Arabidopsis thaliana: one gene and its partners. The protein of the gene in region 2 interacts with the protein of the main gene of each other region in a pairwise test. Each region holds a gene or a part of one and is shown on either strand. Other genes may lie near its edges.

Region 1 (5,166 bases), on a different chromosome or scaffold from region 2:
TCTTCTATAAACCTAAAGTTTAATCGAGAAAACCAAATCAGTTTGTTGTTGCATTAGCTCTTTCTTGTTTTTTTTTTTAAATATCTTTTTTTTGGTGGTATATTCTACAAACTCTCTCATACTTTATTAATGAATTCAAATTCATTAAAAAAAATATTATTATTATGTGTTTGAAAAACACATCAAACTATAAGGGTCAAAAGATATCTCATGAGATTTTGTCTTCACGTAAAAATATATGATTTCTTGTTTGGTCACATTGAGACCAAAAACCCACAAAATCCAAATAAAATCTACAATTAATCGAATTAGATTTTAATATTTTACCATTCAATTAGACGATTTCAAACTACAGTCTACACGGACGTGGGATATGGAGCGAATTGTTTCTAGTTTCTACCTGAGAATTTGACTCACGATTTGACCTAATTATTATCCCTTGCATTTAATGCAAATAATTGACTGAAAAGAAAAGAAAAATGCAGATATTCGTGTGAACAATAGGAATTGGTAATACTTTTAAGTCACAATAGTTCAACTATAAAATCCAAAACACTCAAAGTCTCAAACCAAACTGAAAATTAAGATCAGTTATCTCTATGGAAAAACAACATTTCTGTAGCTAACTAATTAACGAATGCTTGAGAATTATAACCCGTTCATTACATTACGTTAACCAACAGACCCAAGACAATTCATACAACAAAAACTATTCTCTTCTTTGGTTTTTGTTTGAGAGAAAAAAAATCAAACCCCCAGTGAATACCCAAACCTGGTAACCCACAAACCAAGAATATGTAAGAAAACCAACGAATATCAAAAGATGATCTTTAATTCCAATCAAAGAAAAAAAAGAAGAATATTTGTTTTCTTTTGTGTTCTCTCTTCAAGGTCTATGAAGATGCTCTATCACTCGCCTTTTCTCCTTCGGTAGTCGCCGAAGACATGTAGCTCACGGCCAGAGACGTGCTCTCATCGGTACAATGCGTCTGAGGAGGAGGAGGAACCAAAGCAGCCGGAGCTTGAAAATGTTGCTTGCAATTGTGGCAAGTTATTTGCATCATCGTTGCACTAATCCTCCTACTTGCTTCTTCTCTAAAAAGATGAGCTTTGTGAAGCTCAGCTCTCGCATGTTGCCTTATTCTCTTGGCTTCAGCAAACTCCAATTCCGCGATTTCGATCTGCCTCTTTGTTTCTCTTCTCGCCTCCTCTCTTTCTAGGCTCGTTTCTCCCTTCTCGTAGCTCTTCTTCTCAACTTCCGACATTGTCTTTTGATCCATTGTCCCTATAGACAGACTAAGGCTGGTCTCATCAGCACAATTCCTCGATGGAAGTAGCTGAAGCTCGATACTACCATTAGTAACGAAGGGATAGAGCAAAGTGGATGGTTGTTGTTCCGACGGTGGGGATTGTCTTCTTTGTAAAGGATGTCCAGGCAATATAGGACCAATGGAGAGGTCCCCGTTCTCGTTGTTTTCCGCGGTTGAAGCGGTTTGTGTAGCGTTTGTGGTATGTTGTTGCTGCTCATGTAAACGGTGGTTGGAGGGTTGGGATCGGCGTACGGTGCAAGTGTCTTGGTGCTCTATGAAACTTTCCACTCTGAGAAATAAGAGTGTATTATATAAGTTAAACTAAAATGGAAAGCACAAAGGAATATTTGTATCTCGTGACAGATAATATAAATAATTAAGTTAGTGGAGTTAGGTATCTTTTGGATTATATATTTGAGTATGAGATATGCAAGACTTCGAGGTTTAGTATGGTATATACTTAACAAAGTTTGATAATGAAATCTATTATGGGGTCAACGTGAGTAATCAAAACATAGTTCCTAATTATTAAATTAATTAAAAGTATTTTCAGACAACAGTACATCCAAACAAACCTCATCAGGTTCCATTAGTAAACGTTGTTTCAAGATCTATGTGCGTTATCTAAAAATCAAAACATGGACACGCCATACTAGAAAAAACATTCTTTGATTTACTTTAAGGATTCCGATAAATATATATCCTAAATATATAATAAAAATAAAAATTAAAAAGCTAGGGTTTGTTACTAAGGAATGGAACCTGGAAAAAACTCGGCCGCAGTCACAGGAGTGGCCGCGAGTGCCACAGGTTTTGAGATGAGCTTTGTAATCAGATTGAACTGCGTAGCCTTTTGAGCATCGCTCGCAGATCCATTGCTTGTGGTTACTATGTTTCCGTCGGAAGTGTTTCTTGATTCCCACGAGATCTCCGAGCGCGTGGCAAGGGTTGTGGTGGAGACATGTCGGCTCCGGACAGACGTAGACTCTTTTCCTCACTTCCTCGTTGGTCTCTCTTTTAAGAAGCTTCCATGGAACTTTATGTCGTCTTCTATGCATCTGTAGATTCTGGTCCCTTTGAAACCCTTGGTTACAGATCTCACATACGTACCGATCCGATTCTAGTAACGTTCTTGGTGATAAAGATACCACCTCCGCCTCCGGATCTGCCACCGGATAAATCAAAATCTTTAACAGAACTATTTGATAACTTTCCGGATATAGAATCTAACAACTAGTAATTCTTGATAAGAAAATTGTTAAATACCCGGTGTCCCGGCGGGTCTCCGTTTCCGCTTCTGAGTCACGGCGGTTCCATTACCGTCGGGAAGAAGATCAGAGGAAGATGAAGATGGAGGAGGGTTGTGATGATGGGTGTTGATGTTCTTGGTGGTATTGCTTCTCTCGTAGTCTATCATCGGATGAGGTTTTTAATCTCTTCTCTTTTTGTATTTTATCTCAAGACAGTGTGGTTTATAGTGAGAGAGGTACTGTGACTAAATGAAAAATAAGAACAAAATTGAGGAATCTTTTGTTTTTCATGTAGAGAAAGAAGGAGAGATTGTTTTTTATGTTTCCTTATTTATTTGGTAGAGAGAGTACTCATCTTTACTAATAGAAGAAGAAAGTATAAGATGAGTTAAGAGAGAGAAACAAAGGGCTTTGTTTTTCTGAAATCATCTTTATTTTTTTTCTCACATAAAGGGATAATAGCTTTTCTGTTCCCTTTTACTATCCAACTTTTTATAATTTTCTTGGAAAAGAAAAAAATAAATGAAACTTTCAACTTTTTGTTAATTGTTTCATTGACCTCTCACCTTAGATGGAGAAATGCATTGTATGGTCTTTGGTGCTTCAATCTTCTTCAGAGTAGTTATGAACCTCTCTCTTCTCTATCTGTACACTGTTTGTTTACAAACACAAAACATATCTATGGAGAGAGATGTTTATACATATAAAGAGAGTGGGACAAGGAGCTTGGAGCCCACATTAGCATCAGGACAAGAAACAAAAAAACATCCCCTTCCACTACACAACAATTACAAGTCATTATTATTTCATATCATAAAATATTCGATCAGAGTGAGTAAGTTTTGTTTTTCAAAGATAAATAAAAAAAAGGATAGGTGAAAAATATAAACGGAATCTTGGAAATTTGATGTTTAACAGTACATGTTTTTTAATGGTGACAAATGTATATATGTGTAGCCTTTAGCTATAGGGCTGGTGTAAATTAAAAAGGGAAGGGACTTGAGAATATTTGTTTTGAATATAAGACACATGCATATACCCAATTTATGTTTCCGTATATATACAAATATACAATGTGGTGCCATCATCTCATGCCTTTTTATATAAGAAATAGGTTTTAATCAAATATGAATACTGTGCCCACAAGTGAGACGAATCAGAAAATTTCCAATATATAGTTTTTCTTACAAGAAAAACAAAAAACAAACACAAAACCCTAGAGTCAGATCTGGTTTTTGAGTGTCAGCTGAGACCAATTCTATATAACATCTCAAACAAAAGAAAAATTAGAGATCTGGAATATGTTCGAAAGAATTTTCTTTATTAAAAAACATGTCTATAAAAGTGTGTGTGTGTGTGTGTGTTGTGCGTATAACATATACTTAAAGTCCACCACCATCTCATTAAAGGGCATTTGTCTATCCAAGTGGAACTGTAAGAAAATTGAAGTAAATACAAATTTTTTTAAAAGTTTTATTTTTCATTAAAAAATAAAAAGAGAAACAAAAAGAAGATGATACTTTATTAATAGGAAGAGAAAGGAGATGGTTGAGTTGGAAAGAATGGGTGGGAGGATGGGGGAGATGGATTCTCATCACATGCAATGCTTTTTTTTCTTTTTTTGTAAAGTTGGATATATCAAAACTTTCACAATCGCATTCTTACTTAAGAAATTAGGATAATAGTCACCTCTTTCCTTTATTTAAGGAATATATGCAGTAAAGAACCCTCTATTTGGCAAAAATAATGGATAAAAATCATACTTAAATTCGATTATTTATTTTGTGTTTTCTTTAGAAAATAAAAGGATTTTATGGGTATATTTGAAAATAACACACTAATTAATTTATTTGACACTACGTTATATATATATATATATATATAGTTTTGTTATCCTATTCTTTTGTAAATTAAACTCCACTATGATCATGTAGCAACTTCACCCTCGTCCAAATTACTCGTTTAACTAGTTTATTTAATTGCGTGAACTCAATTCACTACCTTAATTAGTTTTTTTTAGTTGTTGACTTGTATTACCTTGAATTTACCCCGGTCTTTAGACTTAGCATTATCTATAACTCTTTTTTTTGTTAATACTACTCATTAAATTAGAAAAAATGGAGTAGTATTTATGTATTTATATGAAACAAATAATAGCACCCGAAAACCATTTAGTGGAGCTGTACACTGAAACCTGAGGCATTTGTCTCGTTCGCTCTTGTTGCTATCTGAAAGTTGCAACTTCAAAAGTAAAATTGACATTTTTTAGATTTCACTGAAACCCAAAACGGAGAGTATTGACTTTAATGTAGCCTTTTACAGAAATTACTTACATACATGAAAAAGTAGTATGTGCCAATGTTACGCGTAGCCTATAGGAACCAAAGTAAAATACAAAATTCCAAATAAAAGAAACTAAACTGGCGAACGAAAGAAAAGTTTTGGAAATTAATCCCTGTAAAAGAAAAACAAGAACACTAGAATTATAAAGCATTGCAGGTGATGTTGTCTTCTACAAACAATTTTCTTTAATAAAGTAGATATATATACACTCGTCCAAAACAACACTTCAATTCGTTTTGTTGATATATATACACAATTCAATA
Region 2 (5,463 bases):
TCGGTCCGGCCCAATACTTGGCCCGCCGATCCATGCCCAAACATATCGAGATCAATGGCTAGAAGAACCATCATCTCGAGGGGGCGTATTAGGGATAATATCCCACATCGGAAGTTGAATAAGATCTTAAGTGGTATATATAAGATATGGGCCTCTTCACCTATTGCCAATTGGTTTTAGGTTGGAAACCCACACTCTAATATGGTATCAGAGCCTGATCCGCACATACTCAACCCGATCCACATCGGTCCGGCCCAATACTTGGCCCGCCGATCCATGCCCAAACATATCGAGATCAATGGCTAGAAGAACCATCATCTCGAGGGGGCGTATTAGGGACAATGTCCCACATCGAAAGTTGAGTAGGATCTTAAGTGATATATATAAGATATGAGCCTTTCCATCTATTGCCAATTGGTTTTATGTTGGAAGCCCACACTCTAATAAACTCAATACAAATACTAAAGTTGCAAACAACTATACTATATTTGCTTGAAGTTCTATTGTGATAGGATTTTGACTTACAAAAATCATATTCTATGTCTACACTATATATTGTGAAACCGGATAGCCATAATATTTACAAAAACTTAAACTAATTTCAGATATAAATAAATTTAAATTTCACTATGACCTAGTAATTATCACGAACAATTGGGAAGTTACCACAAAATGGTGGTCCTGTATTATGGAATTTAGCGAAACCACACACTTGCGGGTAAAAATAATGATGACAAAATGATATACATTGGAATGTAGAGAAAGTATATACAAATACTAATAAATAGAAAAGGGCATGGAATTGACGAGGATCGAGGGAAAGTGTGGTGTGGCAGAAATGTTATTAAGTGTGAAAACAACTGATGAATGAGCCTTTGCTTAATCACTTCCATGCACAAGTCCCTTTCCTCTTCCTCTCTCTCCCACTTCATCGAACTTTGCGTCCTTTAAAGAAAAGAAAAAACAAAACATTTTTCATCCAATTGAATTCAAACCGTAACCAGATTAGATTTAACTTCGTTTATTTTACATTATCTTCTTCTTCTTATTTTGCGGAGAAGACTTGTACAATGACCTCAATACGCTGAAGAGTTGGATTCACTGCGAGTGTATATGTGCATATAGAAACAAAATATCTAGCTATATGACCACTTTTAACTCTAAATATGGGTGTAATATGCCAAGGACTTTCTGGAGATCCACCACAACACACATTCAAGTTCAAGTTCTGCTGCTTTTAGGTCTATGAAAACAACACCAACCTTATTTTCATATTGTTCTCTCTTTATCTCATGCATAAGTATATTTTCATATTGTTCCCTCTTTATTTTCATGCTTTTAGTTGATATTTTTTTTGTTATTGTATTATCATTAGTGCGACGACACAAAGTCACAAACCATGTAACAAAATGCTTAACCAAAATAGAAAACCTTAACAATTCCAATATATTTTCTGTTATTGCATTATCAATTATCATCAAATTTTTTTCCACTGTTGCATTATCATCATTGCGACGACACAAGGTCACAAACCATGTAACAAAATGCATAACCAAAATAGAAAACCTTAACAATTCCAACTTTAACATGTGAATTAATATTATCTTAATTTTTGGATGTTCGACATTCAAATAAACTCCTAATTAAACCCTATAGATATGGTTAATCTTCTATACATGTGTCACGTACGACACTTATTAGCCAAATTGAAGTTTTGTTTTTTCCGCAAATATATAAGCGGTTTAAATAGTTGGTAAAAAAAAAAAAAAGTTAGCATGTTTGTCGTATGTACATGTTTGATGCTGCACAAATCTTGTCGTTATAAAACTTTGAAATCTTTATATCTATTATTCCTCACCGATCGGCTACTAATTCAATGGTACTTGATAATGATAATTAGTCCCAAAGTAGAGTTTTTATCTGATTATATAGAAACAAAGACTAGTTCCGGTTTGATATATAGAAGAAAGAAAAAGGATGGATAGGAATAATAAAGAAGATAAACCGGTTCAAAAGGTAGTAAATGAGAATGCAGGTATGCAGCTTATCTCTACAATGGCCTCTTCATCACATGTCGCCAATTTGTTTAGGTACAGTGTCTCTTCATATTTACATAAATAGATATCTCTCTCTCTCTCTCTCTCTAAACCACATCTTCCTCTCCACCGTTCTTTCTCTTCCTTCTCTCTCTGGACTTCAACTTCTGGAGAAGTACAAGACATTTATAAAGTACTGCTCATCACCCAACACTAAACACAATTGTCAAAAGGGTGTGGTGGAAGGAGAATCTACTTCTATCTGAACATCGATCAGTCATATCTTTTCAATCAAATCAAAGCCCTCCTCTCTCTCTTACTCCTTTTTTGTTTTAAATCAAGAAAAAGACTCCATGTCGAGCATGTCCATGTCGTCCTCCTCAGCTCCAGCTTTTCCACCGGACCACTTCTCATCTACGGACCAGCTCTGTTACGTCCATTGCAGCTTCTGCGACACTGTCCTTGCTGTAAATTTTGGATTATTCTTATATCTCATCTCAATATTTCAAATTTATAACTCTAGCTAGGGTTTCACATGAATTACTAGTTAATTAATGTGTGATATTAATTGGCAGGTGAGTGTTCCTCCGAGTAGTTTGTTCAAGACGGTGACGGTCAGATGCGGCCACTGTTCGAACCTTTTGTCGGTGACCGTGAGCATGAGAGCTCTTCTTCTTCCATCCGTTTCCAACCTTGGCCATTCCTTTTTACCTCCCCCTCCTCCTCCTCCTCCTCCAAATCTTTTGGTACATCGGTTTCATTCATCGAAACAAATTAGGGTTCTTTCATAAAAAAAACAGAGAGTAATAATTAGGGCTTTTCTTCTCGAGAAACGCAAAATTGTGAAACTCAATCCAAAAATGTTTAATTTTGTTAGCATCCCGGGATAGATCTAAGTAGTTTGGCAATGGCTAGTTAACTAGGGTTTCTTTCGAAAACATCATATCAAAGTAGTTTGGTTTGATTAGTGTTTTAAGTTTTTTTTGCCAATTAGTTTGCTGATTTCATTTATTAGGAGGAAATGCGAAGCGGAGGGCAGAATATAAACATGAACATGATGATGAGCCATCACGCTTCAGCTCACCACCCGAACGAGCATTTGGTTATGGCGACTCGCAACGGAAGATCAGTGGATCATCTACAAGAGATGCCTCGGCCACCACCAGCCAATAGACGTAACCTTCCATCTTCTACTCTTTATTTCAACATCTTCATATATATATATATAAGAAAACAAAAACCCTAATTCACAAAACCTTATCCATTCATTTCTTCAACCTTTTATATATACACTCCAAAGAATCTCGTTTGTTTATAATGAATTTATAAGTTTTGATTTCATTTTTGTTCCCTCGGTATGTGACTTCTCGCATGCACTTTTTTTTTGGTCAGAAAACAATTTCGACAACAAAAGGAAAATTAATAAGTGATGTGTTTATCCCCCGGAAATCTAGCTAAACCTATAGATGCCAACTGATATAGTTTTGGGGGTAGATCGTAAGAAAGATAATGATGAAGTGATGATGATAACGAGCAAAGTGAGAGGGAGAGGGAGAGAGAGAAAGGAGGAAGAGTCGAAGAGTGATTGTTTTTTTTTTTTTAATTGTTTTTTTTTGGTGAATTTTTAGATTTTTTGGGGAGGCACAATAAAAACCAATAATGTTTTTTTTAACAAAAGGGTTTGATTTGGAATTAAAATTGAATATGTTCTGTTTGTTTGTTTGTGGAAAAGCAGCCCCAGAGAAGCGACAAAGAGTACCATCTGCATACAACCGATTCATCAAGTAATAAGTTTATTCCTTTGCTTAAAATGGCATAATTAAATTTCCCTAATTAACCATTTTACTCATATAATTAAGGGTCGATAGATGTGACAGATTTGATTTCATTATATGATATAAAAATAAAAATGTTGACAGAGAGGAGATCCAACGTATAAAGGCAGGCAACCCTGATATCAGCCACAGAGAAGCCTTCAGTGCTGCTGCCAAAAACGTACCATTTCTTTTTTTAATATATAAAACTAATTTTCTATATTGCATTATATCCATAATCATACAATCTCATTTTAGTCTTTATGAATTGAACCTAGCTAGATTATTGTGGAGCTACATTGATACTCACATTGCTTTAAATTAAAAACATAAAACAAAATAGTTACCGTAATAATCCATAATTCATAAGCTTTATCCAGCATACATTAGCTAGGACTAGCCTTAGGATCTACGATCTAGGGTTTCAGTAAAGTTCCCTAGCAGATATTTTAGTCTGGCTTTGTATTCGTATATTTTTGACCAAGTTTTTATGTTATGTATAAGATAAATACACATTAATGTTAAAAGAGCTAAGTATATGATGTAATATGTATGAAACAGTGGGCTCATTTCCCTCACATACACTTTGGACTCATGGCTGACCATCCTCCCACGAAGAAGGCTAACGTGCGCCAACAGGTTACTTACTACTACTACACTATATTTATTTATTCAAATGTATATAATCAGGAGCATGCATGCATTGATCATCAAAACATAATCGAGATATTTTATTTTGGTGTAATGAAGGAAGGAGAGGATGGGATGATGGGAAGAGAAGGGTTTTACGGTTCAGCTGCCAACGTTGGGGTGGCCCATAACTAGCTACGAAGACTTTCCCAATCTTTTGTAATCTTCAAAATGTGGTTACTTTCAGCTCAAACTTAACTTTCTTATTACTATTTTATGATATTTGATAATCGATCAGGAGACCTTTTTTTTTTTTCTTAAAGAAATTTTCGGAACTACTAGAATTTTCTCTTGGAATTGAAAATATATTGTTTTCTCAGTTGCCGTGTTATATATTTAATATCAAAAGCATGCAGTAGCTAAGCTAGCTAGGCTTTACCATACGTTAATGATACTGTCTTTTTCTCTTTACAATTCCATATTCGAATTTGATTTGTATATAACATATTGGGAAGAATCATCAATATGTATTCAGCTCAAAAGAATTCAACAAAAAAAAATGCCTATTATCAATAAAAATTCACTGGGCTTTAGAAGGCCCACAATAGTATAATGGATCCTTTTTGTTGGGCTTATTTCAGTCAGGGAACAATAGCCTTGATTTTGTTGGGCTAACCGCTAACGCATTAAAAAAATCACGGTCAATCGGTGATCGTCAAATCTAGTTACGTGGCATTTAATATTTAAAACTACAAAATTTACCAGTCTTGGCTCAAAAAAATATTTATTCACTTTTCTTCTTCTCTGACCAAAATCAAAATTTGTTCGATTCTCATTCTTCTTCTCACAGTCGTAAACCCTAAAAAAAAAACAGAGAAATCAAATTTCAATCTCGAAGGATCTACAAAGAAGCATGACGACCGGAGATCTCGTTAATATCCATCCTACTGAGCTTAAATTCCCCTGTAAGTTTTTTTTTTCCG
Region 3 (5,308 bases), on a different chromosome or scaffold from region 2:
AAAACGACATCATAATAGTACATTTCCCATCACTCCATATATCAACTCGTGCCAAGCAACTACTTACCCTCTTTCAAACTTACTAAATATACTGGTATACATTAGATGTCGATAATCTCTATCATGCAGGGACTGTTTTGATCCTTAAAACGTGAGATTTGTTTTCAAATATATCACCTCAAGCTTACCAAAAATAATGTAGACAAATCAAGGATAAGCAAATGTATATTTAACCGAATTCAAATCCGCATATCACATGTTTTATTAAAAAAATTGTATATCCATTGAAAGTTCTAAGCGAATCTAAGGCCAAAGATCAAAACACGCATGTACGGATCTCCACTCTTAACTCCTTCTAAACTACTGTAGACGTTCAAGACGAAAAAATATCTATATAAAAATTTAAATAGTTAATTTCAAGGTTTTTTTTTTGTTGATAAAATTTAATTTTAAGGTTCTATATGAAACCTAGGATAAAATCATTTTTCAACAATTTAAAGTGTAATGTGGCGGAAATGACAGTAACATAGTTACAAAACATAGTCTAATATTGTTGGACCAAAGAAACAACTATATAACAACCATTACATAATATATGGTAGTTGAAAAAATTAACACAACCGGTAATTAATACACAAAAGTATAATAAAGTTAACCTCAATTTAAATATCTTATGTTTTCTTCGGTTTTACTTAAAAACCATTTTCCAACTCTCCGTCAGTATTCGCTGACGACATGTAACTCACGACAAGAGACGTCTCATCAGCCGTAGCCGCCGGAACCGCAACTGCTTGAAACTGTCCTTTACATGTTTGACAAGTGACCTGCATGATCGTTGAACTTATCTTCTTCATAGATTGTTCCTTTAAAAACTTAGCTCTCTCGAGTTCAGCTTGTGCTTTTTGCCTAATCTTTTTGGCATTTGCAAACTCGTTTTCCGCTATCTCTCGTTGCCTCTTGGCTTCTCTTTTAGCTTCCTCAGCGTAAGCTTTCTCCTTCATCGCTATCTTCATAATTTGCTCGCTCGCCATAATCTCTTTTATACGATCAAAGTTGTTGTAATGTTGATATGATGATGATGGTGCAATGGAGAGGTTTAAGTTTGTGGTATCATGATTATGATTATGATGATGAGATGGTTCTTTAACTTTTTGTTGTTGGTTTTCTTGATTAGGGTTTTGATTCGACGATAATGGAAGAAGTTGGAGTTCGAGGTTGAGATTGTTTGATGAGTTGGTGAGAATTGAAGATGAGATTCTCTGATGAATTGGACGGCCTTCTAGAGGTTGAGGAGTCGTAACCGCAACTGTACCGCCGTAATTGGTTTCACTAGACGGAGTGCTGACGGTTGAGGCGGTTCTAGAAGAGCATGCCGGGACTGTTACCGCGGTTTGTGGTGGTCGAGGCGGTTCACGGTGAACTCTCCGTGCGGAACAATTATCTTGATGTTCAATAAAACTCTCCACCCTAAAAGAAGAAAAGAAACCTATCAATTACATAATTTATATGACGTAGGATTATGAAAATGTGACAAAGTTAATAATTTTATATTAAGTTTTTCTGTTTAAACGTCGTTTATTAAATACCTTTGAACTCAAAAATATATATTATTAATATGAGTTTAGGTCCAATTATAACCTTTGTGTCGAAAAAAGGTCCAATAATAACCTAAATACATAAAATATTTCTTTAGAGATTGGGGTCAATGTCATTAATCTAAGTGCTTAACTTTCTTTTTATGTCACAAAAACCAAACAAATAGTCAAGAGATATATTAAAAAACTCTGATGCATACACATCAATACACAGAATTAGTAAAAATCATGAAGGATAGTCAAATCAAATAGTACTATAACTATCAATCTTAGTCTTTGGTCCCTAGAAGAATTTTCTATATTTGTCTTTCTATATGATCTCCTAAATATACAAAACAAACAGAGTCAAATTACTTGTATATTTTAGAAATACTTAACAAATCCTTCCAAAAGTTTGCATATCTTTTCAGAATTAATAATACCAATAATTAATTTATAAAATGGGTCAAAAAAAAATCAAATGATAGAGAGGAACAAGAAATTATACCTGGAGAAGACACGACCACAGTCACAAGAATGTCCTCTAGTACCACAAGTTTTGAGATGAGCTTTGTAATCAGATTGAACAGCATAACCTTTAGAGCATCTCTCACAAACCCATTGCTTATGGTTACTATGTTTTCTTCTGAAATGTTTTTTGATGCCGACAAGATCTCCCAGAGCATGACAAGGATTATGGTGAAGGCAAGTGGGTTCAGGGCAAACATAGACTCGTTTCTTCACCTCTATGTTGTTGTCTCTTTTAAGAAGCTTCCATGGAACTTTGTGACGTCTTCTATGCATCTGGAGATTCTGGTCTCTTTGAAACCCTTGGTTACAGATCTCACATATGTATCTGTCTGATTCAAGAAGAGTTCTTGGTGATAAAGACACAACTTCTGCATCTGGATCTGAAAAGGAGATAAGGCAAAACCCATCAAAACACATGTCTTAGTTGATTAATAAAGTTGAGATTTTAAATGAGGTTTAAGAATTAAAAACAATGAAAACCCATTAATTGTACCTATAACTTTGAAACTGGCAATAAGAAAAAGAGAAATTTTAAAACTAAACCTATAATAAACCTGTATTTCTAATGGGGTTTAAGAGAAAAAAAAAACAAAAAACAATAGTACCCATGAGTTGAAAATTTTCATAAGAAAATAAAAACAAGAAAAAAAGATTTTGAAAAATAAATTTTCTGTAGTGGGGATTTATTATTACCTGGGGTACCTGCAGGTCTTCTTTTCCTCTTCTGAGTGGATGTGTTTGTGGTGGTGACCCCATTTTCTGAAGAGGAGAGGAAAGGATCAGAAGAAGAAGAAGAAACCACACAACATGTGTTTGTGTTCTTGTTGGACAACATCACTTGATCTGTTCTCATCAATTACTCTACTTTTCTTGATCTTTCTTTTTGACTTTATTGTATTTGGATTCTAGAGATTGATTTGATGAAAGAACAAGGCCCAAAGACCAAAAAAAAAAAAAAATGAAAGAAGAAGAGATAGTGGGAGATTCAGCTTTACAAAGAAGAGGAAGGGTGATAAAGAGAGATATAGGGGGAGAGAAAAAGTTCTTTTAAGCTTTCTGCAACAAAGGCTTTTCAAAACTTTTTCTTAGGCTCTTCAAAGTTTCTCTTATGTTAATATGATGAAAGCTTTTTAATTTTCTTGAGTCTCTCTCTCTCTAGCTCTCTCTTTGGGTATATATTTTGACTCTTCTTCAAAAACCTATTTCTCTCTCATACACTTGAGAGTTGAGAGCAAATAAGGGGTCTTTGATGTCTATATTGCTTCTACTTATAAAGCTCATTGCACTATGCCATCATTGCGTAAAATGTATACATACACTCGTGTAGCTAGAGAGAGAGAGAGAGAAGGTGGTGTATTTATTTAGATTTAGATGTAGATTTTAGATTTTTCTTTTTGTTATTTTGTATTTATTTTTTAGACTTTGTTTCTTTGAGCATGTTGGATATATGAATTTTTTGGCTTGGACCCATATCTTGTCTGATTGATGAATTTGTCTGATTTTCTTGAACCTTCACAAACTATTTTTTTTTTTTTTTTTGAAACATTTTATTTTATGTTTGAGATTATCTACATGAGTTTCTTCTAACAAATGAAAAAAAAAAATATATGAGATCATACGTCCACATGTAAGGCTTGCCTTTCATCAAAATATTATGCAGGTTAGAGGCTTAAAATAGCAATAGTTGTATTGTATCTGCAAATTAGGAGAGAATTTATGAATATCGATACGGTGCTAACTCTTAGATGATGTAAGAAGCAATTAAATAATAAGGTTAAGATACTTCATTACTTCTAATTAACTTTTTGACTGTCACTCTCAAGTCCTATAAATAGTGTGATTATACATCACTAATACATCTTGCGTTTCATTATTGTTAAAGCAATCCAATAATATATAGACAATTTAAGAAAAATTGTCATTGTTAACTATATATGAATGTTATGTCATCATGTTTCCAACGTTGGTCCACATACATGTTAAGATTCTTTTCGAATTACACTTGGAAACAAGGAGAGAAAAAAAAAGGTATATGGTTCTTGTGAATAATCCAAGGATAAAAATGCATTATTGCATTAAATACCAAATTCTGTAAGTTTACAATAATGCAGACAAACTATTATTTTTTCTTTCTATTTGGCTTATATAATGGATGTACTAGTGCCCATACATAGTTAGGGGAAGAAAAAAGACAAATATATCAAATTATACATGCGTATAAAAATAATTCAAACCAAGAGTAAATGTGAAAGTAGTATTAGTATGTTTTTATAAAACCCTATTTTAGTAAAATTCATATTCGATCCCTCGCGCACGTGACCTTATGTCTTACTCACGTGACCTCTTTTTCCCTCCACTCTCCACTGTCGATTCCTTTTAGGCTATTGCCTTTCTTCTCAGTCATTCCTTAAGAAGGTTCATTAACAGATCTAAGAATGTTACTGGATCAAGAATGAAATGAATCTTATATGAAAACATTTTTTTTTTTTTGATGGAACTCATATGTAGACTACCAAAATTAATCATTATTATGGTTTAAATTTTCTCAATCATAAGTTTTGTTACTTTAACACATTTTCTCTGTTTCAATTATGGTTTAAATTTTCTCAATCATAAGTTTTGTTACTTTAACACATTTTCTCTGTTTCAATTGTAAATGCCATATGTATTCCTTCCTTAGCTTGATCGCTATTCGCTACTAGTTGTTTTTATTTTTGTTATTGCCGAATAATAAATTAATTTGCAGATAAAAGAAACAAAAGATACCTCATAATGTTTTTTGTCAGTTGTCAAAAATTGGTTCTAAATGGACCGAAAGGAAAAACAGAACAAATTAGACGAGAAGATGTGATCGAGTTACTACGGTGACAGCTTTGTATAAAGGAAAGAAATGAGATCGTGTTTGTAATCATTTCCTAAGATGAGATTACTCTCCCATCTCTTACTTAACCCTTTGCTTATCGATTATTACCACTGATTAGATCTTTTCTAGCTGATACATAATGCATGATATTTATTTCGGAGCTACAAAATTATAAATTTGTAGTTTCTAATCGTTATATATGGACTTGAGAGACCACAACATCTTAAATGAATGCAAAAATTCAAAAAGAAACAAAAACATGTTAAATGAAATACAATAGTCTGATTTTTAATAGTCAAAAATAAATCGACAATGGCCTAGTGGTTGATCCAAGGTTAAA

What was found. The genes of interacting proteins can lie anywhere in the genome.
Region 1: the proteins of YAB3 (region 2) and IDD14 interact in a two-hybrid assay, tested with the Arabidopsis thaliana proteins (one large-scale study listed by BioGRID).
Region 3: the proteins of YAB3 (region 2) and SGR5 interact in a two-hybrid assay, tested with the Arabidopsis thaliana proteins (one large-scale study listed by BioGRID).

Annotation. Positions count from the first base shown.
Region 1 is NC_003070.9:25,530,045-25,535,210, reverse strand, and holds IDD14 (indeterminate(ID)-domain 14), read right to left. Parts: upstream 3,204-5,166; 5' UTR 2,728-3,203; coding exon 2,577-2,727; exon of another isoform or gene 2,476-2,576; coding exon 2,073-2,475; intron 1,600-2,072; coding exon 894-1,599; 3' UTR 533-893; downstream 1-532. UniProt on the Arabidopsis thaliana protein: Transcription factor regulating starch metabolism by binding directly to the promoter of QQS. The IDD14beta isoform attenuates the transcription factor activity by competitively forming heterodimers with reduced DNA-binding capacity.
Region 2 is NC_003075.7:72,016-77,478, reverse strand, and holds YAB3 (Plant-specific transcription factor YABBY family protein), read left to right. Parts: upstream 1-1,902; 5' UTR 1,903-2,389; coding exon 2,390-2,503; exon of another isoform or gene 2,504-2,590; coding exon of another isoform or gene 2,591-2,611; coding exon 2,612-2,782; intron 2,783-3,051; coding exon 3,052-3,211; intron 3,212-3,771; coding exon 3,772-3,820; intron 3,821-3,955; coding exon 3,956-4,031; intron 4,032-4,411; coding exon 4,412-4,489; intron 4,490-4,600; coding exon 4,601-4,675; 3' UTR 4,676-4,934; downstream 4,935-5,463. Other genes in the region: AT4G00170 (Plant VAMP (vesicle-associated membrane protein) family protein), read left to right, coding at 5,394-5,445. UniProt on the Arabidopsis thaliana protein: Involved in the abaxial cell fate determination during embryogenesis and organogenesis. Regulates the initiation of embryonic shoot apical meristem (SAM) development.
Region 3 is NC_003071.7:430,302-435,609, reverse strand, and holds SGR5 (C2H2-like zinc finger protein), read right to left. Parts: upstream 3,336-5,308; 5' UTR 2,959-3,335; coding exon 2,799-2,958; intron 2,764-2,798; exon of another isoform or gene 2,599-2,763; intron 2,486-2,598; coding exon 2,099-2,485; coding exon of another isoform or gene 2,083-2,098; intron 1,487-2,082; coding exon 693-1,486; 3' UTR 533-692; downstream 1-532. UniProt on the Arabidopsis thaliana protein: Transcription factor involved in inflorescence stems gravitropism, probably by regulating starch accumulation in amyloplasts of graviperceptive cells. Required for stem circumnutation movements. Regulates lateral organ morphogenesis and gravitropic responses.